Alligator mississippiensis: one gene and its partner. The main gene of each other region encodes a partner of the protein of the gene in region 2 in a complex. Links are inferred from orthologs where the notes say so. Each region holds a gene or a part of one and is shown on either strand. Other genes may lie near its edges. The genes, in order: CD2BP2 and AAR2.

Region 1 (15,529 bases), on a different chromosome or scaffold from region 2:
TCTAGGTCCATCAAGACCTGCTGACCCCTTGGTTGCTAGCAAGGCTTTGGGGGCGTATGTTCTAGGTTCCTCAAGGAATAGGTGCCCCAGGATGGCCCTGCCATGATCCTCGTGGCCCCCCAGCCGGTACCTCGAGCTCCTTCTCGTGCAGCTCCCGGCGCAGCACGAGGCCATGGCCATGTGCTGCTTCCGCCTGCCCCTGCGCCGCCTCTGCCTCGGCCCGCAGCTCCCGCGCCTCCTGCTCCAGTGCCCCCACCCGGGCCCGCAGCGCTGCTATCTGGGGGGGAGGGCGACACGGAAAGCCCAACGAACCCAGGTGTCTGGGTCCCGCTCCGCCCGCCCCCCTCTTCCCGCAGGGGACACAGGTGCCCGGGTTGGGGGGTCTCACCTCTGCACTCAGGCTCTGGGCCGCGGCCTCCAGCTCGGCCTGGCTCCGCCCCTGCGCCCGCGTCTCCTCCCGCAGAGACGCCAGCTCCGCCCGGAGCCCCCGCTCCCGCTCCAGCGCCTGCGGGGGGCGGGGCGGGGTGGGGTGGGTTGGAACCCAGGCATCTAGGCTCCTGGCCCTCCCTCCCAACCCAGGCGTCCAGGTCCCCACCTCCTGCAGCTCCTCCGCCAGGCGCTGGTTCTGCTCTGCCCACTCCAGGGGGGCGGGGTCAAGGGCGGGGGCAGGGCTTGGCCGGCGGGGTGGGGCCTGGAGCACTGCCAGCTCCGCCTCCAGCTCGGCTGCCCGCCCCTCCCCCTCTGCCCGTGCTGCTGCCAGCGCCACCCTCAGCTCCTGGTTCTCCCGCTCCAGCCGCTGGGGGCAGGGGAGAGGTCAGGCGTCCGCGGCCCTCCAATCTCCCCCCACCCCGAGGACCCGGGCATCTGGACCCCACCCCCGTGAAGGAACCCAGGAGTCCAGGTGGAGCTGATTTACTCCCTGTGCGTCACCAGGGCCCCTCCCAGTCCCAAACTGGTCTGGCTGGGAGGGGCCCCGATCTTGGGGCGGTGGGGGGGGGGGGGGGGTCACTCACCTCCAGGGCCTGGGCGTGGTCGTGGTCCTGTGCCTCCTGCTGGCGCCGCAGCTCCTCGTTGGCCGCCAGCAGCAGCTGCCCCAGCTCTGCCGCCAGCGCCAGGTCCCGTTCCACCCGTGCGAGCCGTGGCCCTCCCCCTGGCTCCCCCCCTGGCGCCCCCCCCTCCTCCCCATCCTCCCACAAGGCCATGGTAGGGGGTGCCCAGACGCCCGGGGTCCTTCCCGGACTTTGGAGGGGGGCCGGGGCCAGGTGCCTGGGTTCTACCTGGCTGAGGGGGAGAGGGAGGGAGGCTGTAGGGTGCCCGGACCCCTGGGTTCCTTCCCTGACCAATGGGGAGGGGATTGGGGGGGGGGGTAGGACACCTGGGTTCCTTCCGGGGGGGGGGGGGGGGTAGGGGACCCAGATGCCTGGGCTCTTCGGACTGGGAGGGGGGGGGGTTTGAAGCTTGGGGTTTGCCCCTGGCTGATAGGGGAGGGGGCAGCTGGGGGGGTGAGATACGGGGGGCGGGGGGCTTAGCTGAGCTGGACGCGTGGCTTCCCTGCAGCAGCTGCGGTGGAGGGAGGCTGTTGACTTCCCGATTCCAACCCCAGGTGCGGAGGGGGCAGGGCCACCGCCAAGCCCCACCCCCTGCACACCTGAGCCACTCCAAACCCCAGCTCCAGCCGCTGGGAACAGCAAATCCTGCTCCCCCTGCAGCCTCCTGACCCCCCCCCCCCCCATGGGGTCCCCAACCCCTCTCCATCACGGGAACCCATTGTGGGGTGACCAGTACTGGGGTGACACGCGATGGGAGCTATATCGGGGGGTGACAGGAAGACTCGTGATGAAGTGACACCATAGGGAACCCATGTTGGGGTGACACAGGTGGGTGGGGGCTATACTGGGGTGACACGTGGGGTGGGATCCTTTTTGAGAATGGCACAGATCTAGCTCTGGGGGACTCTAATCGGTGTGACACACGTGAGAACCCTTATGGGGGTAACAGACACACAGGGGACTGCTATTGGGGTGACACACCCAAAGGCGGGGGCCCATATTGGGGTGGCACATACCTCCCTGGGGACTGTCATTTGTTACGCACCGCTACCAACTATTATTGGGGTATGAGATATGCAGGGGACCCCTACTGGGGTGCCACCCAAAAGGGGAGACCATACTGGGGTGACCCCAGTCCCCCTGGGGTGACCAGAGGACTTTTATTGGTGTAACACACCCCTGGAACCGCTACTGGGGTAGCAGACACCCACACGAACCACTATTACTGTGTCACACCCTGGAGGGGGGAGCTGCCCCACTGCACATCCCCCCCTCATGTCACACTCATATCCCCCCATGCATGTGTCACCCCAATATAGATCCCCCCGCAGAAAGCCCAGCACCTTTTGCCTCCTGTGTGTCACACAAATATGGGTCCCCTGTGGGTTGGTTGGTGTCACACCAATATGCTCCCAGCCCCTGAAAATCCAGCCCCTGGACACTTACTGCTATGGGCATTACCCCAGTATCAGCCTGCTGACCTGCCCCCTCCAGTGTCTCCCTAAAAGGGGTCCCCCCCACCCATGGGTCTGTCCCGTCTGTCTCTCTGGAAAGACCTCGGACACCAGCCCCATCAATGCAGGGTGCGTCACCTCAAAAACAGCCCCCCGCAATCCTCCACATACATGTGTCATGCCTATGGGGGTGCCCCCAGTGCTAGGAAGTTCCTATGATACAGCTGTCTCCCCAAATCAGGATGGCCCGTGTGTCACACCTATATAGGTCCCCCCCAACGCTATGCGTCTCCCTAAAACTAGGACCCCCACAAAGACATACGTGTGTCTCACTCACATATATATACATATATATATAAGTTCCCCCCATGTACGGTTCCTATGATGCAGCGGTCTCCCCAAAATCAAGCCCCCCTGCCCCCACGCGCGTTACACTTATATAGGTGCCCCCATGCAGCTGGCTCTAGGGAGCCTTCCCCTGCTGTGAGCGGGCAGCTAGAGGCCAGGTAGAACGGAGCGGCAGCCAGCTCTGGGGTGAAACACGACATTTTTAATCCAAACCTGTGTACACAAAGATCCCTCCCCCCAAAGTCTCCAGGCTGGGACTGCCCTGAAAATCTGGGCCTCGGGGGTCACGTATAGAGGTCAAAGTCGATGCGCTTGGAGCTGTAAAACTGCCCGCCCGGCGGGTCCAACTTCCGGCAGTAAACCCCGTCCGCGAAGTAGCCCTCGGACACCCACTCCTGCGGGGGAGAGAGAGACGAGGGGGTGAGTCGGGGGAGAGATGTGGCTGAGGCGGGGGGGCACGAGTGGAACGGCGCCATGCAGCTGGCTATGGGGCAGCGGGTGTCATGGGCTGGGCATGACAGGCACCCCAGGCTGCAGCCTGCTCTGGGGTAGGGCAGGGGGGTCACACACACGGGCACAGATCATGTGATGCACCAACATGGTTATGGGGGGACCCATATTAGAGTGACACACACGCTGACAGGATGGAAAATGGGGGTGCACGTATGGGGGAACCATGTTGAGGCAATGTGTGCACACAGAAGACTTATATAGGGGTGACACGCATGGGGCAGGACCCACCAGAACCACACACGGAGCTGGGGCGTCTCCATATAAGGGGAACTCACACACGAGGGAAATGCACGCATACAGGGGACCCATACTACCGTGACGCACACAGAGAGGGACTCGTATCAGGGAGACACACACACACAGGGACGTCGCCATATCAGGGTGATGCACGCTTGGGTGGGACCTGCACTAGAGATGCACACGTACAGGGGACCCATATTGGGGAGACACATGCAGGGGGACATGTGCAACATGCACGTGGGGAGACACACACACATGGGGGGGCCAAAGTGGGAAGACACACACACACAGGAAGATCCATATTGGGGAAACACATATGGACACACACCCATGGGGGGGGAGGGGGGGCACATCAGGGAGACACCTATGAGAGAACTGATACTGGGGAGAAATGTGTGCACGCATGCACGGTGGGAACCCATATAGAGAACACGCACATGGGGGTGGACACACACACAGGGACCCATGTCAGTAAGACACACGGACGCGCACACACACACACACATATATGGGGGGCCCTAATTGGACACACACACAGACCCATATCAGAGACAAGCACACATACACACATGGGGGGTTCTAATTGGGGGTGGGTGGACAGGCACACACACACATATATGGGGGCCCTAATTGGGGACACACACATGCGTGTGGGGAGGGGACCCATCTTGGGGTCACGCTCACAAACATATGGAGGAAACCCATATTGCGGACACACCCTGGGGAGGGAGGGAGGAAGACCCCCCCCCCCACACACACACAGAGGGACCCATATCAATGAGACACAGACACACACGGCAGGGCCCAAAGTGAGGACACCGGGGAGGGGATGATACTGGGGACACCCCCCGGGAACATAAATTGGGATGATACACAAAGGGATGCATGTAAGGGGGGGACCCACACTGAAGAGACACGGGAGGAACTGTATTGGACACACACACACACACACACACTGGGGGGACCCATATCCAAACGCACATGGGGGAGCCCACGTTGGGGGACCATTTAGGGGAAGGCACCCCCAAAGGCCCCCCCCCCCGTGTCACACTAATAAGGGTCCCCCATGTCTAGCCGCGTCACACCAATATGGCTCCCCCACCCACCACGTGCACCAATGTGGTGTTCCCCCTTGTTCCGGGCCCGTATGGTCCCTCCCATGTGTCCACCAATACAGGTCATCCCCGTGTATCACACCGACATGGGTCCCTCTCAACACACACCGCATCAACACGCATCCCCACCCGCATGACAAGCCAATGTGGGGCCCCACTACGGGTGCCGCGTCAATACGGGTCCTCCATCGCGTTCCCCACAACAGGCGCCTCATCAATGGAGGTGCCCCCCACTAGCATGGCTTCCCCTCACACGTCACATCAACACGGCCCCCCACACGTGTGCAACACCAGTGCGGTCCTCCCCGCCCTGTATGCTGCCAGCATGGGCCCCCCGGCCTGTCACATGCAGCGGGCGGCTGTGGGGCGCGGCCGCCAGGATGCGGCTGAGTCTGGGGCGGAGCCATCCCACCTGCATCTGGCTGCTGCTGAAGGGCCCGTAGAGCTCCGCCCCCGCCGTGTTCTCCCACTTGTACTCCCACAGCACCTCGTCCAGCGCCGCCTCCGCCACGGCCACGGCCCCGCCCCCTGCGGGAGGAGGGCACAGCTCAGCCCCGCCCTCTCACAGGCAACGCCCCCTGCCCCGCCCCGCCCCGCCCCGCCAGGCTCACCAGACTCCTGGGTTCGAAGAGCCGCCTCATCCACCTCCTCAGCAAACATGTCGAGGGTGGGGCCAGTGGGCGTGGCCTGGGCAGAGGGCGGGGCCAAGGCCCGGAGGCGGAGGGCCAGGCGCTCCCGCGTCTCCTGGTAGACGCCGTAGTGGCCCCGTGCCACCATGAGGTCGGCCAATCCCGAGAGCCGCTCCAGCCGGCCCCGCCTCTCGACCTCCTCGGGCGGCTCTGGCTCCGGCTCTGGCTCCGGTGCTGGCTCCACCTCTGCCTGCCGGCCCCGCCCCCGCCCGCGGCCCCGCCCGCGGCCCCGCCCCCGCCCCCTGGGCCGGGCCCCGCCCCCGCCCAAGCGCTGGATGGCCCGAGCCACCGTCTCCCCCGGCCCCACCAGCTCCACCAGCCCCTCCAGCGCCGCCTGGGGGTCTGGGAGGGGCGGGGATTCCCGGCCGGGCTCCGTCCCCTCCGCTTCGGGGCTGCCCCCTCCCTGCTGGGACTGCCCCCGGCGGCGGGCGGGCAGCGGCTTGACAGTCACCTGCGGGGGAGGGGAGGGGAGGGTCAGGGCCCAGCGCAGCCCGCGACCTCCCTCCTACCTTCCCACCCCCTCTCCCCGGGCTCCCCATCTTCCATCCCAGTCTGTCCCAGTTCCTCCCGGTACCCTACAAAGCCCCCTCCTCCCACCCCAGTGTCTCCCAGTGTCCCTCTCCTCCCATCCCAGTTCTCCCCAATGCCTCCCAGTGCCGTTGCGTTGCCCCGCAGTGTCTCCCACTCCTATGCCAGGCCTCACCCAGTCGAGCGAGTCGAGCCAGGCGTCTGGGGGCCCGTCGTCGCCGCGGGGGAAGTAGTTGCCGGCGGCGTCGAAGTGGCCCTCGGCCAGCTCCTCCCGCAGGTTGAAGGGCGTGAAGCGCACCCCCTCCTCCTCCAGCACCGAGCCCGGCTCCTGGCCTGCGTGACGGGCGGCTTCAGGCTCCGCCCACCCGCCAGCCCACCCAATACCCCCACGTCTGTGATAGACAGCATCCAGCGCCGCTGGTAAGCCCCGCCCACAGGATAACCATCCCAGGCCCCGCCCACAGCCACGAAGACCCACCCACTGCACCTGCGGTCCTTAGTAAGGGGCCGCCAGACTAGGCTCCGCCCACCCACCGGTGACGGACAGCCTTCACAACAGGTCCCGCCCCCAGCTACCAAGAGGCGAGGAGCCTCTGGCTGCTGGTTGCGGCCTACCAGTGCAGGCCCCGCCCCCTGACCCCGCAAGCCCCGCCCCTTGACCCCCACTCACCCTCCACGTCCTCCGGGGCCAAGATCCCGCCCCCGGCAGCTTCTTCATCCTCGTCCTCCTCGTCGCTGTCCAATGAGTGCTTCCCCTTGAACCGGCTCCCGGGGCCGCCGGGCTCCGCCTCCTGCACCTATGTGCGGTTAAGGGGCGTGGTCATCGTCAAGCTCCGCCCCCTTCCTCCAGGACTTCACCCCACCTTGAGTACGAGGTGACGCAGCCCCAGGCTCCCAGAGCCCCCCCCCCCCCCCCGCACTCACCCCACGCTTCTTGGGCAGCCCCCCCAGGTCGTCGTCGTCGTCCGGGTCCTCGAACGTCACCTTCCGCTTGGACATGGCGGCCCAGAGCCCTGGGGGCAGGAATGGGGGTGAGGGGCGGCCCCAACCCCCTCCCCCGGGGGGGGGGGGGGGCAGTCCCTTGCTTCCCCCAGCCCTCTCCCTTCTTGGTCCTGTCCGCCCCACGCACAGGTCAGGGCGAACGCGAGGCTGCCGGGAAGCCTCCCCGCCAGGGGGTGCCCCGCCACCCGCTCAACCCAGCCCGGAGGGTGCCAGGGCCTCCAAAGACCCCCCGAGCCCCTAAATGCCCCGGAAACACCCCCAAAGGCCCCTCCCGCGCGCCGCCGCGCACATATGCAAATGAGCGCCCCCAACATTCCAAGCGCCCCCCCCCCACAAAGGAGCCCCGCGCACCCGGGACTCCGCACTCAGCCTGCACTTCCGGGTCGCCCAGCCCCTGACCCCGGAAGTGACCTCAAGCCTCGTCGTCGGACCAGCCCCCTGCTTTTTTCTTTTTTTCATTTCTCACCAGTGAATTTACTGTTTCAGGGATTTAAACAGATTTACTGTTCGAAAACACTAAAAAAAGCCCACAACTTATTTATGGGCGACTTCCGGGTGTGAATCCCCGGATGTGACGTCACACGCTCAGGCCGGCCTCTTTTTATTGGTTTCGTCACCCGCGTGAATTATCTTTACTTGCTGGGATTTAAACCCGGTCTTGGAGGGGTTCCTGCCCCCGGCCAAGTATATATTAAAGGGGGAATACGACTTTCGGGTGCGGGCCGGAACTGACGTCAAGCGAAATTCGCCCTGCCCCTTTTCTTTAATTCCGCCCCCCATTTCTTTTTTTTACCTTATTATTATTTCGAAATTTAAGTTTTTGATTTTTAGGAAGAGACTTGGAAAAAATATCGGGAGGAAGCAGCTTCCGGGTGCGGCCCCTCCCCCTTTTTCTATCCCGTTTTTTATTTCTTCAGTAGACGATTTATTCATTCGTATTTATTCAGTGGTGAGGGGCAAGGAGTGCGGCCGCTGCCAGGACAGGAAGTGACGTCGCTGCGCGTTTGCTTCTCTGGCTTCAATAGGAGGGGGAAGCGTGAGCAGGAATTAAAGGGGCCGCGGGCCTTTTCTTTGGAGGGCAACAAATGGAAGTGACATCAGGGCCTGGCAGTGGGCCCGGTGGAACAAGGGAGGGCGGCAGCGCGAGTAGCTCTTAAAGGGGCAGTGCAACCATTTCTCCATTCTCCCAGACCCCCCATCCCACACATACTGCCCTGCCACCCACCAATTACCCCAAAGTATCCACTCAAGACCTGCCCCTTGAGGGGGGAGGGGGGCCTGCAGACAGCGCCATTAGCATGTGCTGAGGGTGCCACCCCCCACCGCACAGGCTGCTATGCCCCGGGCCCTGCACATGCCTAGGGTTGGCTCTGCCTGTCCCCCCCCCAGTCCCCCAACCCCTCCCCATGGAGCGCAGACCCACAATCTCCAGCACCATCACCAGTAGGCTGCCAGAGCATCACCTCGTGGCCCCCCAGACTCAGTCCCCACCTTCTTAACCCCATACCCAAAGACCCCCGAACCAGAGCTGAATGAGCTCCTGCCCCCCCCGCAGAAAGACCCAGTGACTCTAGACCCCCCACCCCACAGGCCTCAAAGAGCCAACCACACTCAAGAGACTCACCCGCCCCCCAAGGAACTGCACTGTCCGCCACCCGATGCCCTTGAAGACTCAGCGTCTCCTGGCCAGGCCAACCTTGGGTCAGCCCAACCCCGGCCCACCAAACCCAACCGTGGTCACCCCAACTTTAGCACCAGGAACTCAGTGGCCAACACCACAGAAGCCCCAACACCCCTTCAAGCAGACCAGCCCCTCCCCCGCTCTGCAGGTGACCCCGCCCCCAATGCCTTTGAAGAACCAACATCTCCCCACCCAACATCCTTCAAGACCCCACATCCTCCACTCAACCCAACCGACATCCCCCCACCCCTCTCACACCGGATCGGTGTCTCTGCCCCCGCCCTGTGGAACAGAGACTGAATTCGCAGATTGGTTCTTTCATATCGTTTGTATTTTTTTCCTTGTTTTTTTGTTAACGAACCTTTTGAAACCCAAGCGACAGAACAAAAAGATAAACCAATGGATGGGAGAATAGGCACGAAAGGGGAGGGATGGGGGGGGCAGAAATAAAAATCAGAACATCTCCGAGGCGGGGGGAGAGGAAATAAAGGACGTATCATGTAAACATCGCGTGTCCTGATGTGCCTGCCTGGGGCACGGGGGCGGGGGTCAAATGATATTGGGGTCAAAGGGGGTGAGGTCAATGACTTCCAGTGTCTGTCCCTTTAAATTAAGTCATGGCGGAGTATACATAATTACAATATGGAGACATATATATAATATATGTGTAAAGACACGTATATACATGGGACGCAGGGGCACAGAACCCAGACATCTGGCCTCCCAGGCCCTGAGCTATCCCATCAGCCCCCACTCCCCTCTCACAGCTGTGACCATGCCAGGTGAGCTCCCAGAGCTGAGGGCAGGGTTTCCAGTTACGTTTTGGGGGAGGGGCAAGCTCCTCATTGGCCAGCAGCTAGGCCTCAATAAAGCCCACCCCCAACTTCCTGGGGAGGGCTGCTGTTGGGGAACAGGGAGTGTTGGGAAACTTCCCCGCCCAAACAAGGGGGACAGGGGGAATAAAGTCCTCAGCCAATGAGGGCACACCATCTGAGGCGCTCAGGAAGCGTACAGATGGACGCGCTGTCGGGAGGCGATAAAGTTCACCGTCCAATGAGGACGCACCGTCGGCGGGCAGCACGTTGACAGAGCGCCCCCGACGAGGAAGCCAGCGGGCATGCTGTCGGCGGGCAAGAACACTTGACGTTCAATCCGGAAGCGCAAGGCCGGACAAAACGTCTCGAGCCGGCCGCCCAATGAACCTCGCCCAGCGCCCTCTTGGGGAACAAGGGGGCCTAGTCCAGCCCGCCCGCTACGAGAATGGACAAACTTTATCGGGAGCCCAATCAGTGAACAGCAGGCTGCCCAGCCAGGCCCTGCCCCCTTCCTCAAGAACCAATGAACTTTATCGAGAGCCACATTGGCAGACAACAGGTTCAGGGACGGGGCAAATAAAACTTTATTGGTACCCCTGGGGGCCAATATCAGTGCAAAGGAGGAGCGTTCTGTCGCTAGGGATTGTGGGGAGGAGGTGGGATGAAACTGGTTAAATAGTTTAAGGAGGGAGGCGGGGCCTATTTACAAACAGGGGCGGGGCCTCATTGGGTTACTATTATTAATACAATTATCTCCTCGTTAAGACTGGGGCGGGGGTGGGGCAATGCCCCAGTAGCCCTTCGGGAAAGGGGGTGATGTACCTGGACCTCCGCCCCCCTCCCCATTGGTGGGGAGGAGGAGATGGCGGCCATCTTGGTTGATGAGGGAGCCATTTTGGATCAGATGGGACCCCCTCCTGGGGGAAAGAGAGGGAGGGAAGCCATCTTGGGTAAGCAGCAAGCCATCCCAGATGAAATGGAACCATTATTGGAGGCAGGGAAGCCATCTTGGGTAAGCAGGGAAGCCAGGATGGACAAGATGGGAGCCATATTGGCTGAGGGAACCCATGTTGAACTGGAGAACGGACGCCATCTTGGTTGAGTAGGAAAGCCATTCTGGATGAGATGGGAGCCATATTGGATGAGAGAAGCCATCTTGGATGAAATGAGAGCCACATTGGAGGAAGGAAACCATTCTGGATGAGATGGGAGCTGCCTTGGTTAATGAAGTCATTCTGGTTGAATCGGGAGCCATATTGGATGAGGGATGCCATCTCAGTTGAGTAGGGAAGCCAGGAGCCATATTGGATAAGGGAAGTTATCCTGGTTAACAAAACCATCCTGGATGAGATGGTAGCCATATTGAAGAAGAGAAGCCATCTCGACTGAGTAGGTAAGCCATCCTGGATGAGATAGAAGGCATCTTAAATGAGGGAAGCCATCTTGGTTAATGAGGCAGGAGCCCTATTGGATGAGGGAAGCCATCTTGGCTAAGAAGAGAAGCTGAGGAGCCATGTTAGCAGATGGACACCATCTTGGTTAATGAAGCCATCCTGGGCAAGATGGGAATGACCTTGGTTCAACGAGGAGTGAAAACGACTCATTTGGCATAGTGAGAAGCAAGGGGGTGAAAAACATTGGGGGATGGGTGGCCGCCAGGAGCTGAGGGACCCCAAAATGGTTTCCCATGAGTCTCCTCAGCCCCTGATCTCCCCAAAATTGGTCCGTCACCCCTCCTGCCCCTCCTGTATCCCCGGGGGGCAGGGGAAGAGTTCAGAAGTAAGTGTCCTGCAGCGTGGATCCACCTGCCCCGGGCTCCCCGTCCTCCGGGACCACGCCCCCAGATTTCGGGGGCTCCCGGCGACGGAAGGAAGTCTTCTTCTCTTTCTTTTCCTTCTTCTCTCTCTTTTTCTCTTCCTTCTCCCGCTCTTTCTCCCTTTTCTTCTCCTGCTTCAGCCGGGCTTTCTCCTCCTTCTCGCGCTTCTTTTTGTCCTCGGGGCCCACCCCTTTTGTGTCCCGCTGGGGGGGCCCTGCCCCCTTGTGGGGGCCCCCGAGGGGGGCGTTGTTGCCTGTTGGGGAAGGTAAGGCCGGGTGCAGCCCCTCTGAGACCACCTGGCCTGAGGCGGCCGGGGGTGCGGCAGCAGCAGCCAGGGGTGCCAAGGTGGGGCGAGGTGGCTGGGGGCGGGGCTTGAAAGCCAGGCCAAGGAGGCCAGGGCTGGCGCCAGGGGGCGGGTGGAGGCGGTGGCGCTCCTCATGGATGGCGCGTGAGCCGTGCAGGCGCCGGGAGGGCTTGTGCTGAAGCTCGCCCCGCGTCTCCCGCCACTTCTTGAGCTGGGCCCCACTCTCCCGCTCGATCAGGGCCTCTGTCACCGGCAGGCTCACCACCTGGGGGGGAGGGAGGGATCATGGGGGGTCCTAAGGGCATCTGAGCAGCCCCCAGTGCCCCCTTTTGTCCCCTAGCAACCCCTGTCATCCCAGCATCCCCTAACACTCCCCAGAGCCCCAGTACCCCTTAGTAAACCCCTGTATGCCAGCATCCCTTATGAGTCCCTGTAGCAACCCCTTCTGTCCCAGCATCCCCTAGCAACACCCTCCACAACCGCTACTACCCCTTAGCAAACCACTGTATTCCAGCATCCCCAAGCAAATCCCCTCCATCCCCTAGCAGCTCCCCCACATCCCAGACTCCCTTAGCTACTTCCTGTATCCCCTAGCAACCCTTCCACATCCCAGCATCCCCTAGCAACACCACCCACAGCCCCTAGCAAAGCCCCCATTAGCAAACCCCCATATCTCAGCATCTCCTAGCAACTTTCCTCCGACCCCACTCCATCCACTAGCCAACCCCCCATCCCAACTTCCCCTAACAACTCCCAGCACCCCATCGTTCCCTAGCAACCCCTCGCATCCCAGCATCCTCCAGTGACACGCCACATTCCACCATCCATGAGTAGGGCCATGAGAAAAGGTAAGCTGGGGAAGGGGAAGGGAAAGGGGCATGGGAGGCATATCGACTTCTGTCACAGGGAGGGAAGGAGCGAGGCAGGGGCAGGACTGAATGGGGCTCCTGGGCAGGTGGTAGCAGCCAGCTCCCCTGGCCTCCCGCCGCCTCTGGCTGTGTGCTGGGTGGCCATACGAGCATGGGTAAAGTATCGTTTTTCATGGAACTGCTGGGACCCGTCTACTAAGTTCTGGTCCCGTGAAGAGTCCATAAAAAAACGATACTTTACCGCGAATTTTCAGCAAAAAATCTGCCGTTTTTTCAGGGCCCAATCCGGTAGCCAGCCCCAACATCCCCTACCGACCCCCTTCCAGCCCCGAGCAAGTCCTCATCTGAGACTTCCCTAGCTACCCCCATATCCCCTAGCAACACCCCCACATCCCACCATCCTCTCGTAACCCCCAGCATCCCATAATTCCCTAGCAACCCCTCTCGATCCCCTAGCAACTCCTCCCACATCCCAGAACCCCCTAGCAAACCCCACCATCCCAGCATTCCCTTGCAAGCCCAAGCATCCTCTAGTGACCCCCGCATCCCAGCATCCACGAGCAACCCCATGCCAGCATTCCCTAGCAACTCCCAGCATCCCCTAGCAATCTCTCTCCAACCTCTAACAATTCTCCCACATCCCAGAGTCCCCTAGCTACCCATCTCCTAGTTCCCCACCCCCCGACATCCCAGCATCCCCTGGCAAATCCCTGCATCCTGTAGTAACCTCTCACATCCCTTCACAACCCCTCCACATCCCAGCATCCCCTAGCAACTCCAAGCTTCCCAGCATACTGTAGCAACCCCCCGCATCCCACCATTCCCTAGCAAACCCCAGCATTCTCTAGCAACCCCCCATATCCTGGCATCCATTAGCAACCCCCTATATCCCAACCCCCCCAGTAATCCCCCACAGCAACCCCTTGCATCCCAGCATCCCCAAGCGAACTCCCCACACCCCAGCTCCCCCCACACTCCATCACTACCTCCCCTCCGCCCCTGCCAATGCCCCCCACATCCTAGAATCCCCTACTGACCCCACACCCCTTACAACCCAATCACCCTCTTGCAGCCCAGTACCCCTTAGCAACCCTCCCTTTCCCCCAGTTCCCCACCTCCAGCCTCGCAGCACCCTCCAGGGGCCGGACTGACTGACCTCGTGCACCAGCACCTCCTCCTGCAGGCACTGCAGTGGAGGGTTGCGCAGCTTCTCCATCGTCTCGTACATGCCCTGGCAGCTGCGCAGCTTGTCCACCGAGCCCAGAGTGCTGCGCAGCAGCACCAGCCCCACGCGGAAGATGATCTTGACCCCTGGAGGGGTGGGAGGAGGCAGGTGGTTGGCCACAGGGCAGGAGACAGATGGGTTGGGGGAAACAACAGGGACCGTGGTGGTGGGTCGCAAGTGAGGGGCACCGGTGCCCGGGGGGGGTCTGTGGGTCAGGAGTGAGGGGCCCAGTGGTAGGGAAGCAGCGGTGACTTGGGAGCAAGAGGCCCCACAGTGGGGCAGGGGACCGGGAGGCGGGGGGGGAAATGACTCACCCTCGCAGAAGAACATGTCCCAGACGCGCAGCACTGAGCTCCAGGGCAGAGTGCGGGAGAAGACACACATGAACCACTCGGTCATGTACAGAATGGGGTCAATTTTGAACTTCTTGAGGTGCCGGTAGGCGATGGGGCAGGCGCGGCGCAGCAAGGCAAAGAAGATCTCCCCGTCCAATTGGATCGCTTCCTGTCCCGGGGGGAACAGAGACGTGTCACATCCTGTTCCCACACCGAGGCAGAACGCTGCCACCTCCATGGTGCCCCCCAGATGTAGAGAAAGAGAACCTGGATGCCTGAGTTATCTGGGGAGTGGGAGCAAGAGAGGCTGGGAGCCCGGACGCCTGGGTTCTCCAGGGTGGGGGGGGAGCAGAGGCACCACTCACCAGGCCTGCGCTGTAGTAGCCAGGCAGGTACTTCTCGCAGATCTGCACCAGGCACCAGAAGGCTTGCTGTGGGGAGAGACGGGCGGTGAGACAACGTGCCGGGACAGGAAAACGGCTGGTCCAACCAGCGCGGGAGGGAACCCAGGTGTCCAGGCTCCCAGCCCCACCCCTGCCCTGGAGAACGCGGGGCAGGGGGGTGTTGGGGGGGCAGCTCACCTCTGCGGGCATATGCATGAGGAGCACGGCGGCAACAGGGGCCTGGGCCTGGCAGTAGCCCTCATCGGGGCGGTACACGGTGTAGGCCTTGAGGATGCGGTACAGGTCCTGCTGCCTGGGCCGGGGGAGGATGGGAGAGGGCATGACGCAAGCAGGAAGGGCAGGGGCCAGCCCTCCCCCCCCTCCCTGGGGAACCAGGTATCCGGCCTCCTGGCCCCCACTGCTCCTAGAGAACCCAGGTACTGGGCTCCCAGAACCCCCTGCTCCTACCCCCCCACCCCAGAGAACCCAGGTGTCTGGGCTCCCTGAACCCCCTGCTCTCACCCCCCAGCCCCTACCATCTTCCCAAAGAACCCAGATTTTTGCTCTCATGTGCCATCTCCCAGGGAACCCAGGCGTCTGGCTCCCAGACCCCCTGCTCCCACCCACTCAGGGAATCCAAGCACCCAGGCCCCTCACCCGTGGCCCCCACGGGCGGCGAACATCTCATGGAAAGGGAACTGGCGGTGCAAGTCCTTCTCGATGACATCCAGCCACTTGGGGTCACCAGGCTGCCGCTCCAGCTCCTAAAACAGGGAGCAAATGGGAGCAAGGGAACAGGGTATCATGGGGGCGGGGCAACAGAAAGGGGGGCAGGGCCTACCTCAAACTTCTCCGGGTTCTGCTCCAGCAGCTCCTTGCTATTGGACAGCAGTTGCCAGGCCTTGGCGCGGAGCGAGGACGGGATGCCCTTGCGGCAGCGCAGCTTCACCTGGCAGGGGGCAATGGAGCAAATTGAGACCCTGGGGGGTCAACTGGGGGGTCCTCGGAAGCCTCTAGGGGCCTGTTTGGCCAAGGGGAGACCACAGAGATGCAGGGAAGAGCCACCAGAGTGTCCCATTAGTGCGATGGAGCCCTCCAGTAGTGGAGAGGAAAGCTGCGCTTGCGCTGCAGCCGGATCTGTCCACTCTGGCCCAGCTCCTCTC
Region 2 (15,905 bases):
TCTGAATTTTTTCAGTTCACAAAAATTTGTAAACATATTAATAAAGCATTGTGTTCAACTGATATATTTACAATATGAAAGCAATTTGGAAGCCTACCAGTGCCTCAATCATTATAATAAAATTAATTCTAAATACCAATATATTTTGGCATTTGATTTTGGTGTTTTTATCACAGAAAATGAAAGTTACCCCTGCCCCCTTCACTCGTCACTATGCGGATCCAGCTGCAGCTGTCCCCCCCACTGCTTTGTGGTGCTGAACAGCCCTGATATGCCAGTGCCCCTCAGTCCCAAGCCACAGCCTCACCAGCTTTGCTTGTGCTCCTGACCCGCAGCCCTCTCGTCCCCGCCAGGACCCCTCATTCCCAACCCACAGCCTCCTGCCCCCCTGCCCATCCCCAGCTGCCAGCGCTATGGGACCTGGTGGCTGCATCCTGCCCACTCCCTGCCCTGTAGGTGCCAGCTGCAGCTGGTTGGCAGCACTGAAGCACCACCTGCCATGTGCTGGAGGCGGCAGCTGCTGCAGCTGGAGCAGAGGGAGGAGTATGGAGCCTGGGTCCCTCCTCCTGCCTGCAGGCAGCATGGCTGGAGTGGAGCCCATGGGGACGTGGGGGATTGCAGGCTGCCTGCTGTAGGGCTCCCTGCTCTGCTGCCTTCCCCTGGGGGCCTCCATAGCCCAGCAGGTGGGACTAGGCATGGGAGGGCAGAGCAGTGAGATTTGCTGCCGTGCCACTAGCAACACAAGGAGTAACAGGCTGGGGGCGGGGGGATAGCTGTGCTGCCCTCACGTCCTCTCACTGCTTGTGTGCTGGGCCGTGGCTCTACCCTGCCACTGTGGCCCAGCCACCACCACTCCCATCAGACTGCCTGCACTGCCCCCCACCCTACCTCCCTTCTGGGGTAGAGCTGTGGCCCAGCATGTGAGGGGCTGGTGGTGGAGGAGGTGAGAGCAGCACCACTCCTCGCCCCCATTCCATTACTCCTCATGCTGCTGGTGGCACGACTGTTGCAGGGGTCCTGGCAGTGGCAGCAACAAGTCTCACTGCCCTGCTCTGCCCTCCTGCTCTAGGTCTTGCCTGCTGGGCCATGTGCCTGCTGTGGGCTCAAAAATCTAGAGGGGTATGTGCCCCTCCCCATGTCCCCCCTGGATGCATTGCCTATGCTCCACCCCACCACAGACTTACCTGCAGGGAGTTGCGGGAGCTGCTCTCCATCATGCTGCCTGGCTGCCACATGCACATGTGCATGCACACGTGCATGTGGTACCCCCAGCCTGTGATCAGCTTCCTCCTGCTCCTGGCATTCCCCTAGCCCCAAGCAGCCTCTTGCAGGCTGGAATACTGCCAGCCTGCAAGGGGAACGCCATAGTTTTCTACCTTTTTCTCCTTTAAAAGAGAGAATCCAGGTTTTTCCACAGCAAATGGAAAACCCAGATCCCTGGTGATCTGGAACAATCAACATGGATTCGTCCACAGCGGTCATGCTTGACCGCTGTGATTGCCTTCTAAGGCAAGGTGATGGGCTTCATGGATGGGGAAGGGTAGCAGATGTAATATACCCTGACATCAACAAGGCTTTTGACACTGTTGCCCGAGAGGGGTCCAGAGAAGGGCTGTGGATTAGGAGTGAGTGGGTCCCGAGAAGGGCCACCTGCATGATCAGGGACTTGCGCAGCAAGCCATATGAGAGGGTGAGGGATCTCAGACTCTTCAGCCTAAAGAAAATAAGGCTGAGAGGGGACCTGATTGCGGCTTACTGCTATATCAGAGGCGTACATCAGGGGCTCAGTGAACAATTGTTCACCAGGGCGCCCTGGGGGAAAACTAGAAATAATGGCCACAAACTCCTAGAAGATAGTTTCAGGCTGAACATTAGGAAAAACTTCTTTACAACTAGGGTGTCCAGACTATGGAACAAGCTCCCGCCCCGCAGAGGTGGTGCAATCATCTACCCTAGAGGTCTTATCCCAGCATCAATATAGACTTCTTTGCAGACTTCTTTCTTCAGGAGTATTTTTAAATTCTCAGAAGACAAACAATTGGATTCTAGTGAAACAAATTATTTTGAGCTTCAATTCATGCCAGGGGGGCGAGGAAGGTTCCTATTTGAAACTGCCAGTGCTCTAAGCTCATACAAGGTTTCGTTCCAACTTCCTCACATACAATATCATCCTGCCATCTAAGATGATCAAAATTAGTATCATCAGGCTTTTACTTATCACAAAAGCCGATCTTCTTTATGATGAACTAAATTACCCTTGCTCAAATCTACCCATCTCTGCACTGCTAGTAAGACCTTCCCTCTTTTAAGAAATTGCACTTGTGAAATTAAATTAATTGAGTTATACTGCACCAACCTCTAAAATGGATATGCTACACTGGCACAGAATGTTTACTTCACACTCATAAGGCCATGAGCCCTAACAAGATGTGGCACCTTGTAATAAGCCTTTTAAATTAGAGGACTGTAACACCTCATTCAGCCCTTTGAGATTTAAGTGGGGTGATTGCAGAAATAGCACACAGGCAATTAATTGAGAATCTATGACTGTATCCAAACTGGTAGTTAGGGTCAACTTTAGAGCCACCTTGAAGCCCAAACCCAACAGTTTATACTGGAAATCCCTATTTAGCAGTGGATGGTAGTCCAGCTGACACCTAAACCCCTTCTAAACTTCAGAGCTGAGGGAAAAGCAGCCTTACTTCTAGGACATCCCACTCTGGAGTGTTTTTGGAACAATGTACAAGAAGCATGGAAGTCTTAGTTGTAGGCTTTGAGGTAAAGCAGAGATGGGAAAGGGAAGTTCAAGTACCTAGCGCTGGATGAAGGAATGAAGGAAACCCCTTGAACATCAGTGTAGGTGTGCCCTCAGACCTTCATGCATACCATTTCACATGAAGTGAAAGGCAGTGAATCCCACCCCAATCTACATCCCCAGCCTCATCTGAATTTCATCCCATGTTATGTTTCCATCCTCATTCTCGTGAGATTTTTTCATACTACTGTTTTTCTGCAGAGGGTGGACTTACCTGTAGAGTGCTAGTTAAGAAGTTATCCTGGGAAACTATGTCCACAAAGAAGTCCGGTGGGATTTCACTGAGCTGGTGGTACAGGACAGAAATGAGGCTGGTGTAGAGAACTTGATACTTCCCTATGGCATCCTCTGACCTGCACAAGAGATTCAGGAGCTTTTTCCAGTGCTCAAACGCATCATACACATTCCCAATCAGGAAACAGATGAAAGCAAACTGCAATTCACCTGGAAATGCCCCACCGAGAAAAAAAAAAAGAGACAGAAAAGGACTTTAGTCAGTGAATCAAAGTGAAAGAGGCACATGCAGCCCTTGACAGCTATGCAGATTTGTGCATACACTAGTAAGGTTGGCCTTTTTCCAGCACACAAAGAGATTCTTCTGATCCCAATGGTTGTGCTACAGTAACAATTGTCAGTCCTTCAGACATTGATTGCTTCCCACTCCTTTGTTATGTGACTAGGAAACAAGCATACTGCAATCAAAAAAGGACATGTTTAGCACAGCCGTTTACTGTGGAGAGCCACTTTATCATCAAATAGAATCAGAGAGTAACGTTGCTGTGAAGTGACTTCCAGACACTTGGATATGGTATTGTCTGTTTTATTGTTATAAAACGCTGTTACCTACAATTATCACACTACAAAAATGGAGGCATTACATCCTCCTGTGATCCCTATCCTCTTGGCTTTCCAAAGCCTGTGCTTCCAAGGAGGGCAACAGGACAAACGAGGCTGCTACTGTAACTACAATATGGTGTGGGTACCGCCAGATGAGCCAGACAATCAAAACAAGAAAACGATAACTAATATGTACAGCATAACTAACGTGAGCAGTATACTGTGTACTACTCCTGATCAAAATTAAAAATTGCCCAATGTTTAGACTCGTCTTGTTTGTGAGAATTATCAACATCTAACACTATCCAGTGCTTTACGAGAAACAATTAACTTGCAAGTAAACTAGCTTTTTTTTAGAATAGGAGTTGCCAACATTTGCTGGCAAAGAGCCAGAGTGACCCAGTTCAGGGCTAAGCTGGGCTGGCACTAGGACCTGGCTGCATCTACCACTTTTCCCTGCCATCCTGCTGTGGCACAGGGAAAGCTCCCCCTCACCAAAGTCCTCAGTGCCCTACTGCAGTGCTGTGTGAGCAGAGCTGTTCCTCCGCCACAGCCACAGCTTCACAGGCCACAGATCAGCAGCCCCTGTCCTAGAACATTCCACACTATGATTCATAAAGGCAGAAAATTAACAGGAAAAAAGAAGAAACAAGAAATTGATATGAAATATCAACCATCTAGGGAGGTATCCAGGTTGTAGCCATATTGGTCTAGAGGCAAAAGGAATCAAAATTTGTGGCAGAGGTGGTATCTTTTATTAGACCAACTAGATATTTGCAAAAAAAATTCTTTATTTGCAAGCTTCTGGGCACAGGCACCCTTCGCTAGGCATAGGAGATTGCAAAGATAGTAAAAGTTCTCCTAGGTAGAAATGAAAATTGATATTTCATCATTTAGGGATTTATCCAAAGGATAACAATGCCGTCCCTGCTTGGTTTCACAGTCCTCATACAATGCCACCAAGGAAAGAATATTCAAACAACTTCTGATACAACAAGGATTTATCATTGTTTCCACTGGAATTAGCAGGTAATTAAAGCACTGCCACTGAGGGACACCAGCTGGCAATTTCTAATGTGTCGCTAAATAATGTATGATACATTGTTCTGTACAGTATTTACTCAAAGCTTTCTGCACAACCCCCAAATCCTACCAGAAGAGGTCACCAGCAGTGCACAAGCATCACTTATTCCCAAGTCTTTCAGCCTCTGCTGTTTGAACACAAGAGATGAAAAGCTACCATATTCAAGCTATTATGCAGATGAAAATGGACTGCATTAAAGTGGTGATTTAAAGAGACCACATTTAGATAGCTGCTTATAGCTTCCTGCTCTGTGCCCTCACTGCTGAATTTGCGGCTCCTCGGTTCTAATCCTCAAAGGGAATTTACAAAACACTTTTCACAGATGAACCTGTGAACTTTACTTCATCAACCTCCTATTTACAAAAAGCACAGACTAAATATAAACATTGGATTTATGACACATTATAACCTACTTGACTTCCGACTCCCCAAACGCCTCTCTACTATTTACCTGCTACATTCATTCATTCCCCCCCCCACTGACTCCTCAATTTACATTTTCATTGACTATCTGTCTTGCCTGCAGATCAGCCTCTGGCCTCTTTACTATTCCTTCCATCCAGGAAGAGTGCATACAAACTGCAGGTGCTTCCTCAGCCTGAAGAAGAGTTTTTAAACCCGAAAGCTCACTGATAAAAAGTTTTCCAACTATTTAAGTTGGTCTAATAAAAGATATCACATTCACCCAAAGAACCTTGTCTGCCGGCTCCTCACTGGCATTTTTCATGGCTTTCAGCAGCAGACAGTAAGCGTGTGGGGGCGCAGAGCAAGGAGGGATTGCAGCAGCAGGGACAGGGGACTGGCACAGTTTGCAAGCACCCAGCCTGCTGCCACCGCTTTGAAAGAGTGCCAGCCCCTGGGCCCAGTGATTCCCCGACAAAGCCACAGGCTGAGTTCCTGGCACAACAGGTACAGGGGGACATCCCCCCCCCCTCCGCTGCTCATGCTGGCAAAGAGTTAGTTACGGGAAACTCTCTCACTCACCCAGCACATCCTCAGGTTTGCTGGAGTATCGCTTGTTTATGACGGTTTCCAGAGCGTAGCTGAGATCCATGTTGTGCCTGGTGATTTCCTCAGGGGTCGCGCCGTCGGGGTACATCTGCGTCGGCACCTCCGTGAACCGAATCTCGGTGCCCGCTTTGGGCTTCATCTCGGGCAGCCGGGCCAGGCCCTCGGCATAGCTCTTGCACTCGGTGTCGTAGGGCGGCCGGTTCTGCTCAGCCCGGTCCTTGGCGTGCGTCCCCGCCAGCACCGGCAGCACCTCGGAGAAGGCGCAGACCTGGCCGCTCTCGGGCTGCAGCGTCTGCATCACCGCCTCGCTGATGCAGCTGCTGAGCGACACCCACTTCTTGAGCGTGTCGTAGGGGTAGGGGCCCAGGAACGGGTCCATCTCCAGCAGGTTGGCCCGGATCGCCTCGCTCTGCTCCGCGGGCGCCGGGCTCAGGTCGACCAGCTCCGTGGCCGGGTCCCAGCGCAGCACGCGCAGGTCGCGGCGCCGCAGGCTGAGGAAGAAGCCGGTGCGCGGCCCCGAGGCGCCGGCGTCGCGGCGGTCCACGGAGCTGTAGTGGAAGAAGTGGACGCCCGGGGGGATCATCTTAATGCCGCGGAAGCGGGGCCCCACGCTCCACGTCTTGTAGTCCACGCCGAGCTGCGTCCCCTCCGGCACCCCCAGCACCACCACTGCCGCGCCCTCCGCGAACAGCCGCCGCGCCCGCTCCGCCTCCATGCCCGGCTCCGCACGCACTCACGCACGGAAGCGAGCCCCCGGCTTCCGCTGAGCCGGCGACTTCCGGCGGGTCCGGCCGCGAAAGCACCGGGCGGCTCCTGCGGCCGCGCGGGAAGGGCCGGGCTCGGTCTCCCGGCGACACGGCGGTGGCCCGGGCCTCGCCACCGGGGGCGCGTCACAGCCTGCCCCGGGCGCGCTGGCAATGTTGTCCACGACGGCCCGGAGGAATGGGGCTGAAAGGGCGAGTCCATGTTACTCTTTGCCCCCCAGCCCCGCGCTGCTCCGTTAGCGAAGCTGTCAGCCCCGGGTGAATTGCAAGGGCTCAGTGCGCCCGTCCCCGAGGAGGCAGCGTGGGAGCCCCCGCTCGTTTCATGGGGCCACTGAATGCCTGTTTGTGGGCATTGCTTTCCCTCAAGAACATGCAACCGTCTCCGCAATAATGCTTCAACGTGATTGTGGTGTATAATTGATGATGTATCCTTGCCTGGGTTATAAATCCTCTTAGGGTTTCCCACCATGTCCTTGTCCTCAGCCAGGGGAGCATTAGGGACAAGACTTGCCCTTCTCCCACAAAGAAACCCTTCAGGGACACCCACATGGATGGCAGTTCATGGCAGACTCTTCCTCCTCTCCAAGTTCCCCCAGTATTTCCCATCCAAGCTCTGCCTCCCAGCCTGCCTTTATCCCCACGTCATTTCAGTGCCACAAATGATAGACATTTGAAGATTCCCCATCAAAAAGAAACCAAGCCCCCAAACACCTAACAGGACCGACATGTATTCAGGAGTAGGTCCCAGCAATGCAGAGACACCAGGACAGCACGTACTTTCATGCTCTGAACATCTACAGCCTGCTGTGAGCAGGGTTCCCTTTCGGTGGCTTGCAAGGGTGGAACGTAGCCTATGAATCTATGAAACGTATTTTGTGGGTGAAGTTTGGCAGGACAGCATGACCTCCCATCCTTCCTCTTCTCAACTGGATCTCTGCACTAGGTAGGCTCCTGGATGAGAACCTGGGCAGCTCTGCCCAACCCACAATGTATGGTCCTTGCTCGGCGTCCTCATCACAGCCAGCTGTGGGAGACCCAGCTGCCTCTGGGCATACTGTCACCCTGAGGAGTCTCTGCTCCTAAGGGTAGTAACTGCCACTGCTTTGCTCAGAGAAAAGTCAGCTTCAGGTCACAAGCTGGTTCAGCATCAAACACATTTATTTCACTTTTATTGAATACAAGAACAGTGAGCACACACGCATACATCACCAAGCACTGAAAGGGATATGATTGAAGGGAGTGGAGGAGAGAAGAGGAACCAGGGAAGAGGAAAGGGGAATTAGTGAAGGAATGGCAGAGCATTGCAGTTGGTTGGTAAGGTGCTTTTCAAATAAAAATAAATATTATTATTATTATTAGTACTCATGCAATTGCAGGCCAATTCTGGAATGAACTTGTGGGACTAGGTATGAACAGGCACTCACGTCTCCCACCTCCTTCGATGGAAAGGCCCCCAGATGAAAGAAAAAGAGTGATCAGCTACCTTAAATATCAGCAACAGTAATGAACAAGGCAGAAGAAAGCCAAAACTTTCAAGGGGCACCTGGCTTCAAATATGATCACAAAGAATAAATATTCTGTATATATAAAATCCATACTTTGCCAGGTGAGCAAAAGACTCCACTTTTTTCCCCCACTTTTTTCATTGTCACCCATCAGATACGTTGGGTTGAAGAATCCAGAGAACTGGATTCAGTTTTAAAAATCTGAACATGTAGGGGCTGAGTGCAATTCTCCTACTTAGGTTTTACAGCAGTGTAACTCCACTGATGCTCATGAAGTTGCTCCAAATTTTAAACCATCATGAGAGACCAGAATCAGGCACGAAGAGTTTGAGTAGCCTCTTATTCAAAAGTCAGTGGTCTCAAGTTTGCACCAGCTGCTCTTTGGTTTGAAATGCAGGATGTATTGAAAAAAACTATTGCGCTGGGACACACCCTAGCATGCCAATGGGAGAAACATGCCTAATATTTTGCACAGCTGTGGGAACAGATCTCCTGGAGTTTGGCTTCTCTTCCCAAAAGCACAAGTGCTTTATGTAGCTAGTTCACATGTGGGTTGCTGTGCAAAGGCTCAGTCTCTTTTTGATGTTGGTGGGCACAGTTCCCTAAAGCAGCATCGGGTGATAAGGTGGAGAATCCTGGGAGAAAAAATACACATTTGGATTCATTGGAAATCTGACACAAACTTTGTTGGCAGAAGCAAAGGAATCAATTCTTTTATCAGGGAGGCTGTGCTCATGCCATTAATGCTTATGGGAGAAACTGATGTGCCAAAAGGAGAACAGACTTTGTGGGGACATAGTAGAAGGCAAATGGAAGGACCAAGATCCACCAGAGGCCCGAAGTTCTCTGCTGTGGCAGCAGATTGATCAGATGGGTACGTCCACTTAATCCTAATTATTCTACTGATCCCTTTTCAATACAACCCTCTGATCCCATCACAAGAATCATTTAGAAGAGTTTTCTACCTGGTGTAAGGTCTCTTTATGTTTGTGGTCTGTGAAAAAAGGCAAAAATGGTGCAATATTTATGGGCCCTTCTGTAACTTGAGGAGCTTGGGACAATTTCTCTGGAAATCAGTTGATTTTTTTTTGTTTTGTTGTTTTTTTTGGTTCTGAGTTTGCCCTAACTGCTTGGTTGACAGTATATGAGGCTTGAGCTGGCACCCATAATCCCCATTCCAAGTGTACCAGTGATGGAAACCTTCATCTAGGTGCAAAAGTCTGACCAATAGAGAGGAAAGCAGCCTCACTGGACACTGGTGCATCATCAGCAACTGCCTCTCAGTGTTGGCTGACTGGACAAGGCTACTCAGCCTTGCTAATCTACTAAGCTTTGCACTCACACATCTTTGTAACACACAGTCACCTTCTCAACTGCCAGCAGATAGGAGTATACTCTAGGCAAGGCTGTGGTAGAACAGTACCAAAGAGGTAAAGGATGGAGATTGCTGTGTATCAGCTCCCCTCATGAGAGCTGTCATAACGCCTATGGTCACCTTAGCAGAAACCAGGTGTGCAGCCTGCTTCAAAGCCAAGCAGAGCAGAAATACCCTCTTGCTTATCTGAAACACACCACTTCAACTTCACTTGAGCTAGATCAAGACCAGGGTTCAGAAATGCAGCTATGCAAGTGTCCTGCTTCAGTAGGTGTAGGGTGTGGGAATGGATCTGTAACTCAGACTTTGGTCCTGGTTTTTAAGACATCGCTGAGGAGTATGACATGATCTCTCTACTGCTGTGGGGACTCCAGATCGGGGGGGGTGTCAAGGACTCCTAAAGGTGGGAAGCATCTTTTTGTTGGGGGGGCTGGTGAGACATTGCTGACTGGTGCATTTTGGTGATGCTAACTGGGCTGTGGTTATAACTGTCCATTCCTTCTTTCCCAGGCCCTCGCCTCTTTACATTACCAAGAACTCCTTTGTCACCAACCAACCAATTACAAACATATACTGTATCACTACATCAATTCCTCCTGCCACAGAGCTGATCACTCAGTGACAAATGCAACATTCCTCTCCACCCCACAGCGAGCAGTGGTTAATGAAATGTTCCCCATCCTCTTCCTGCGGGATGTCAGTGTGATCTAAGATTCTTGTAATACATCAACCACAGTCAATCAAATAATTATAACTTAAAAATGTCATCATCATATTTACCAGCACTGTTTAATTATTTTAATATTGTTTCCCACCCCTCAGTTCCCCACCCCCCTTGTTATATATAATATACATAACTTAAAAGCACATCCATATGAAACCCTTACAGGCTGCATCTTTATAAATGAAAAACCATATACATATATTTGTTTTTGTTTTGTTTCAAATTAGATCCATTCTTAAATACCTTCGGAAAAAGAGCTCGGATAAAGGGACAGAGGAAAGGGAAGGGAGGTTGGGGAGGAGCATAACAACTGAAAAATGATGCAATAGAACCAGCATGGAATGGGGAAGAGAGGTGGTTGCCACACATCCCAAATGCAAAAAATAATCATGAAAGAATCAAAACAGTTCAATGGTTCTCTCTCTTCTTTCCTTAGGTGGGGAATAGTTTTGTTTCCGCTTGGTTTCTTTTGTTTGTTTGTTTGTTTCTTGCTTTGTTGCAAAGCATCTTTCCTTTCCATTCAGTGTGCAACAAATGACCCCATGATCTGTGTATCCTTTAAATGGAACATGCAAAATGGCGGTTTGTTGTATTAATAAGATTATTATTATCATGATTTTTCTTATCAGTCCAGTCAAATTCATCACTTTCTCCGCAAAGGCTAAAAGAGGCGGTTGGTTTTGCTGTTATTGATGTTGCTGTTTGTAATTCATCTCATCTCCAGCATATAGCAGCAGTGCAAGGATGCGTTTTGTTTCTTGTGTGTGTGTATATATATATTTATATATATATATATATATAATATATATTCGCTATTCCTTTTTTTTTTTTTTTTTTGTCTCTCGCCATTAAGGTTGCAGCCAGGATGTCTGTCTTGTTGACAAATCCAGCATGAAGGCCCCTTCTTCACTGTTCTCCAGCTTTGTTTGAATAGAGATGCCAATGTCGGTGAACGTGGAGGTCAAGATTCCTGTACAAAGCAGATGTAAACGATCATGGAGTATTTCCTTTCTTATTTGGTCAATATAATTTACTGGTCTATTAAAAGGTTCTTGCTTATATTAAAACACTAAACAATGTTGCTCGAAACATACAGGGCCATATTTCATTCTCCATTCCATTGGTACCCCACAACTGAATTCAAATGATGTAAAAGCGTGATTCTGCAAGGTGCCATTGAAACTACTGAGTGACTTTGCCTGTTCTGCGTTATGCAGGAGGTAAGATTAGAACAGAGGCTGGCAACCTATGGCCCACAGGATGGATTCAGCCAGCCAAGAACTCCATCCAGTCCATGAAGCCTGGATATCAGCAGCATTTCTGCAGTACATAAATTTGGAGACAGGGCTTCCCTGCTGTTGGGGAAATTCTGCAGCACTTGGCAGCAGCCAGGTCAGAAGTGCTGGCCTGCCTCAACCGTGCTGCATTATGATGACCTACTGCTCCTAGATTAGAGAATCAGAACAATCCCTCTGGCCTTCTAGTCTCTGAAATCAGTTGAGGGCAAATGGGAGTTGAGGGCAAATGGTGCCTTGCAGCATCGGACCATGGCTAAGGACAGGATCTGGCCCAATGTGCTTAGGGACAACATGAGCACTCAGCTCAGCACTTTATGGCAGGGACCCAGCTTTTACAGCCTTCCTTCAGTGCAGTCTTGGTCTTTCTTTACTGTCATCATGGTGCTGCTGCATCCCCGTTTTCTCCAGGGCATGTCTACGCAAGATGCTACTGTGCAGTTGTTTCTGTGCATTTATTGGGTACCTGTATTAGCAAGTACTAAATAAACGCGCAGTAACTGGAGTTACTGTGCAGTAGTGCTGGCAAATGTCTTTTAAGTGACATTATTGTGCAGTAACCTAATAATACTTTGTAGTAACATATTAGCACCGTTCGTGTGACGCACTACTGCGCAGTATTATTTGGCTACTGTTCAGTCAGCATGTCACGTGGACACGCCCTCTGATTATCTTGTTTTTCCTGTTTGAGCTCCTTATGACCTTTGCTGGCTCAGTGCTGCTCTTTTCTTGCAGCTTCTGTTTCCTGAAAGCTAATCTGATGTGACCTGAGAAAAACAATACTAAAAAATGTAACAGATCTGGACTCTAGATAGCTCTACTATCTGTCCAATGTAAACAAGTTTGTTTGAGATTACTGTCTTCTGAAGCTGACAGTTGCACCATGGTTAGAGTTTGCCCATTATGTCTAGGTATAGTGCTCCATTTAGATTCTGTCAGTTTCATTTATCCAATTAAGAAGTCCTGTTTAAGGAATGACTATGCAAGAAAACCTTAACGAAACTCGTTTTTCAAACTGCCATTCTCCAGCCCTGACATTTAAGCCAAGACTATCTAGATCATGTAGAAAAGGAAAATGGAGCCAGATTTTCAAGAAGCCTCTAGAAATGCACCTGGACTTAAGTGCGAGTTCACAAGATTGCATGTGCAAACAATGCGCATTTGTACTGACAAATGGACAGTTATACAGAAGTGAACTTGGGAACTTGAGGAGGTATTAAATAACTGCTTCTTGCAAATGTAGCTCTTGTGATTTGTCCCGTGCTGGCAGAATCTGGGGAGTGAACTCCTCAGTTTATCCACAAAGTCAGGTAGCAGAATAAGCTTCCTGCAACAACCCCATCCACCAAGCTGGCTTATCCCTAGCCCCTAGAAGGACCTTGTAAGAATGAGAATGTTCTTCAAGCTCTATAATCAGTCTCTGGCCTCTCTGCTGACATTACCAATAACGGGACTCACTGTAGTGGTAGGCTTTCTAATAGTGATCAGGTGGAAGCAACCTTTGGTCACTGTCAGATTGGGCTGAATTTGAACTGGTGACCAGACATGCCATCACCATTTGTCTGAGCAGGCTAGTTCTTTCCAGCAAACATAAAGATCCATCTGCACTTATGAGTTCAGTCACAAGTGTGGCCATTTTGTAGGCCCTTTGAAAAGACATCCTGTGGTGTTCAGGAAGGAAGATGAATAAAGTACTGTACACTGAGGAAGTAAGCTATTGAAAAAGTGACAGAGGTCCCTAAGAAAGGCTTTACACAAACAAGGGAGCTAAAATGCAATATGGCCCTTTGTAATGGTCCCTGTGACAAACCTGGATTAAGAACATTAAGCACTGAGGTGCTGCTCATACAGCTGTTTTGCAAGCTGGCGGAATAATTATCCTACAGGAATATCTCCCTGACTGCTGTAGGAGAGGCCTTTCAGAAAGCATATAGTATTTAGTTATGCTATTATCTACTGTAACAACAGGCAATCTGTCTGTTCCATCACCATGACTAAGAGGAGTTCCTGGCCTTTACTGGCATCTCTCAAGTCCCAACTCAAACTATTTACTGATACTGGTATACTGAACCTATGGAGGATGATGAAGGACATTCTATATATGTTGTCACCTCAGGGGGGGGGTGTGTGCATGTGCACATGTGTGTATGCGTGTGTGTGCGTGTGCGTGCGTGACCATGTGATAGGTGCTCTACCTTGGAACTTCTGTACATACCTGAGGCTTCTTGTCCCTTTCCTCTGGTGAAGGCTCTGTTTCTCTATATACCACAGCTTTGGTTACCAGCATGTCAGGGTGCTGCAGTTTGGCCTCTTTGATTGCCAAAGCTAATGCCTGTGAATCAGAATAACAATAAAACATTTGCCACTAATTCATTTAAGGCTTTCACTAGTATTTGATCTTAGCAGAGCTTGCTGTGCCCATTAAGGCCTCTCACCTCAAATAACCCTCCCTCTCACACCCTGGATTAAAAGATTCATTCAGGAAGGCAATCGCTCCCAGGGATTGCTGGACTGTAGATGGACTAGCTTTCATATCAGAGTAGAAAATGAGTACTGACAAAAACTGTCATGTGATAGTTCCCCAGAACTACTGACTATTTTCACACAGGCAGCTTCCTACCTGGTCTTGATCCACGTCTTCATCTCCCGTAATAATGATCCGCTTCTCTATTCTGGTTTCTGAAAACCCTCCTTTCACAGTCTGCAATGCAAAAGGGAACAGGATGAGGTCAGAGGCTGGATTAGGAACTTTATAAGCACTTGCCCTAAAGAACTACTGTGGCCTTTGTAGGTGGAGAACATGGTGACCTGATTGCTTGGTGGGAGGTGGACAAGGGGAACACTTCCCAATATTGCTTTGCAGACTCAGCTAGTCTCATTCACATGAAGGTGCAGTTCAAGTTGCTGATGTTGATTCCTCCCTGGGATTAGCAACAGGATCTGCACTGTCTCCTCCCTCCCCATGCACTGCCCAAAAGGCAAAGACGAGCTGACCTGTTCTCACTCCAATATCGGATGCCTGGAGATGGGAGGGGAGGTGCTCTCAGAAAGACATTTTCATGCAGAAACGGCCTCTCTCCACTTGGCAACCAACGTCCAAATGGCACCCGTTTGGCATTGGATAGGTTGGGTGAGATATTAAAAAATGCTGGGCACTGCCCTTAACTGATCCAATAAAAGCTAGGGGGAGGCTTCAGTGGGAGCAGCATCAGGCCCTTGCCAAGTACTATAAGAATTCTACCCTACTGAAAACGTGTCCTGTTCCTTATGGCTCTGATTATAAAATCCCCCCTCCCTTCAAAAGCAACCACAGCTTGGCCCTGATGTGTTTACATATATGACACACACAGGGTAAATTCCCTTCCCTTCTTAAATGCAGAAAACAGTAAAAGAAAAAAAGCAAGCAAGAGATATATTGGCTCAAATCTACACTGCTGCTGCACCTCATTAAATCTGCATTACACCTGGGATGAGTTTGGCCCATTAACTTGACATGGTAAATGGCTCTTATAGATTCATAGATGTTAGGGTCGTAAGGGACCTCAATAGATCATCGAGTCCGACCCCCTGCATAAGCAGGAAAGAGTGCTGGGTCTAGATGACCCCAGCTAGATGCTCATCTAACCTCCTCTTGAAGACCCCCAGGGTAGGGGAGAGCACCACCTCCCTTGGGAGCCCGTTCCAGACCCTGGCCACTCGAACTGTGAAGAAGTTCTTCCTAATGTCCAATCTGAATCTGCTCTCTGCTAGCTTGTGGCCATTATTTCTTGTAACCCCCGGGGGCGCCTTGGTGAATAAATACTCACCAATTCTCTTCTGTGCCCCCGTGATGAACTTATAGGCAGCCACAAGGTTGCCTCTCAACCTTTTCAGCCTCCGCAAGAGAAGATCCAGTTTCTCTAGTCTCTCCTCGTAGGGCTTGGTCTGTAGGCCCTTAACCATACGAGTGGCCCTTCTCTGGACCCTCTCCAGGTTATCTGCATCCCTCTTGAATTGCGGCGCCCAGAATTGCACGCAGTACTCCAACTGCGGTCTGACCAGCGCCCGATAGAGGGGAAGTATCACCTCCTTGGACCTATTCGTCATGCATCTGCTGATGCACGGTAAAGTGCCATTTGCTTTTTTGATGGCTTCGTCACACTGCCGACTCATGTTTATCTTGGAGTCCACTAGGACTCCAAAATCCCTTTCCACTTCCGTGCCACCCAGCAGGTCATTCCCTAGGCAGTAGGTGTGCTGGACATTCTTCCTCCCTAGGTGCAGCACTTTGCATTTCTCCTTGTTGAACTACATTCTGTTGTTTTCTGCCCACTTGTCCAACCTGTCCAGGTCTGCTTGTAGTTGTTCCCTGCCCTCCGGCGTGTCCACTTCTCCCCATAGCTTTGTGTCATCTGCAAACTTGGACAGAGTACATTTCACTCCCTCGTCCAAGTCACTGATGAAGACATTAAAGAGTATCGGTCCAAGGACCGAGCCCTGTGGGACCCCACTGCCC

The links.
Region 1: AAR2 (region 2) and CD2BP2 share a complex: the UniProt entries of both Homo sapiens proteins name them as parts of the U5 snRNP complex. The link is inferred for Alligator mississippiensis from reciprocal best matches to the Homo sapiens genes AAR2 and CD2BP2.

Annotation. Positions count from the first base shown.
Region 1 is NC_081830.1:652,941-668,469, forward strand, and holds CD2BP2 (CD2 antigen cytoplasmic tail-binding protein 2), read right to left. Parts: upstream 7,912-15,529; 5' UTR 7,732-7,911; intron 7,646-7,731; exon of another isoform or gene 7,405-7,645; intron 7,386-7,404; exon of another isoform or gene 7,290-7,385; intron 7,179-7,289; exon of another isoform or gene 7,066-7,178; intron 6,950-7,065; 5' UTR 6,936-6,949; coding exon 6,861-6,935; intron 6,734-6,860; coding exon 6,607-6,733; intron 6,270-6,606; coding exon 6,112-6,269; intron 5,860-6,111; coding exon 5,331-5,859; intron 5,248-5,330; coding exon 5,132-5,247; intron 3,247-5,131; coding exon 3,136-3,246; 3' UTR 3,034-3,135; downstream 1-3,033. Other genes in the region: BICDL2 (BICD family-like cargo adapter 2), read right to left, coding at 131-277, 389-505, 596-796, 1,014-1,733; TBC1D10B (TBC1 domain family member 10B), read right to left, coding at 11,208-11,819, 13,580-13,734, 13,963-14,152, 14,349-14,414, 14,565-14,679, 15,024-15,130, 15,208-15,315. UniProt on the Homo sapiens protein: Involved in pre-mRNA splicing as component of the U5 snRNP complex that is involved in spliceosome assembly.
Region 2 is NC_081832.1:22,951,802-22,967,706, reverse strand, and holds the start of AAR2 (protein AAR2 homolog), read right to left. Parts: upstream 6,494-15,905; 5' UTR 6,463-6,493; coding exon 5,721-6,462; intron 3,260-5,720; coding exon 3,030-3,259; intron 1-3,029. Other genes in the region: EPB41L1 (band 4.1-like protein 1), read right to left, coding at 11,077-11,085, 13,626-13,742, 14,031-14,111. UniProt on the Homo sapiens protein: Component of the U5 snRNP complex that is required for spliceosome assembly and for pre-mRNA splicing.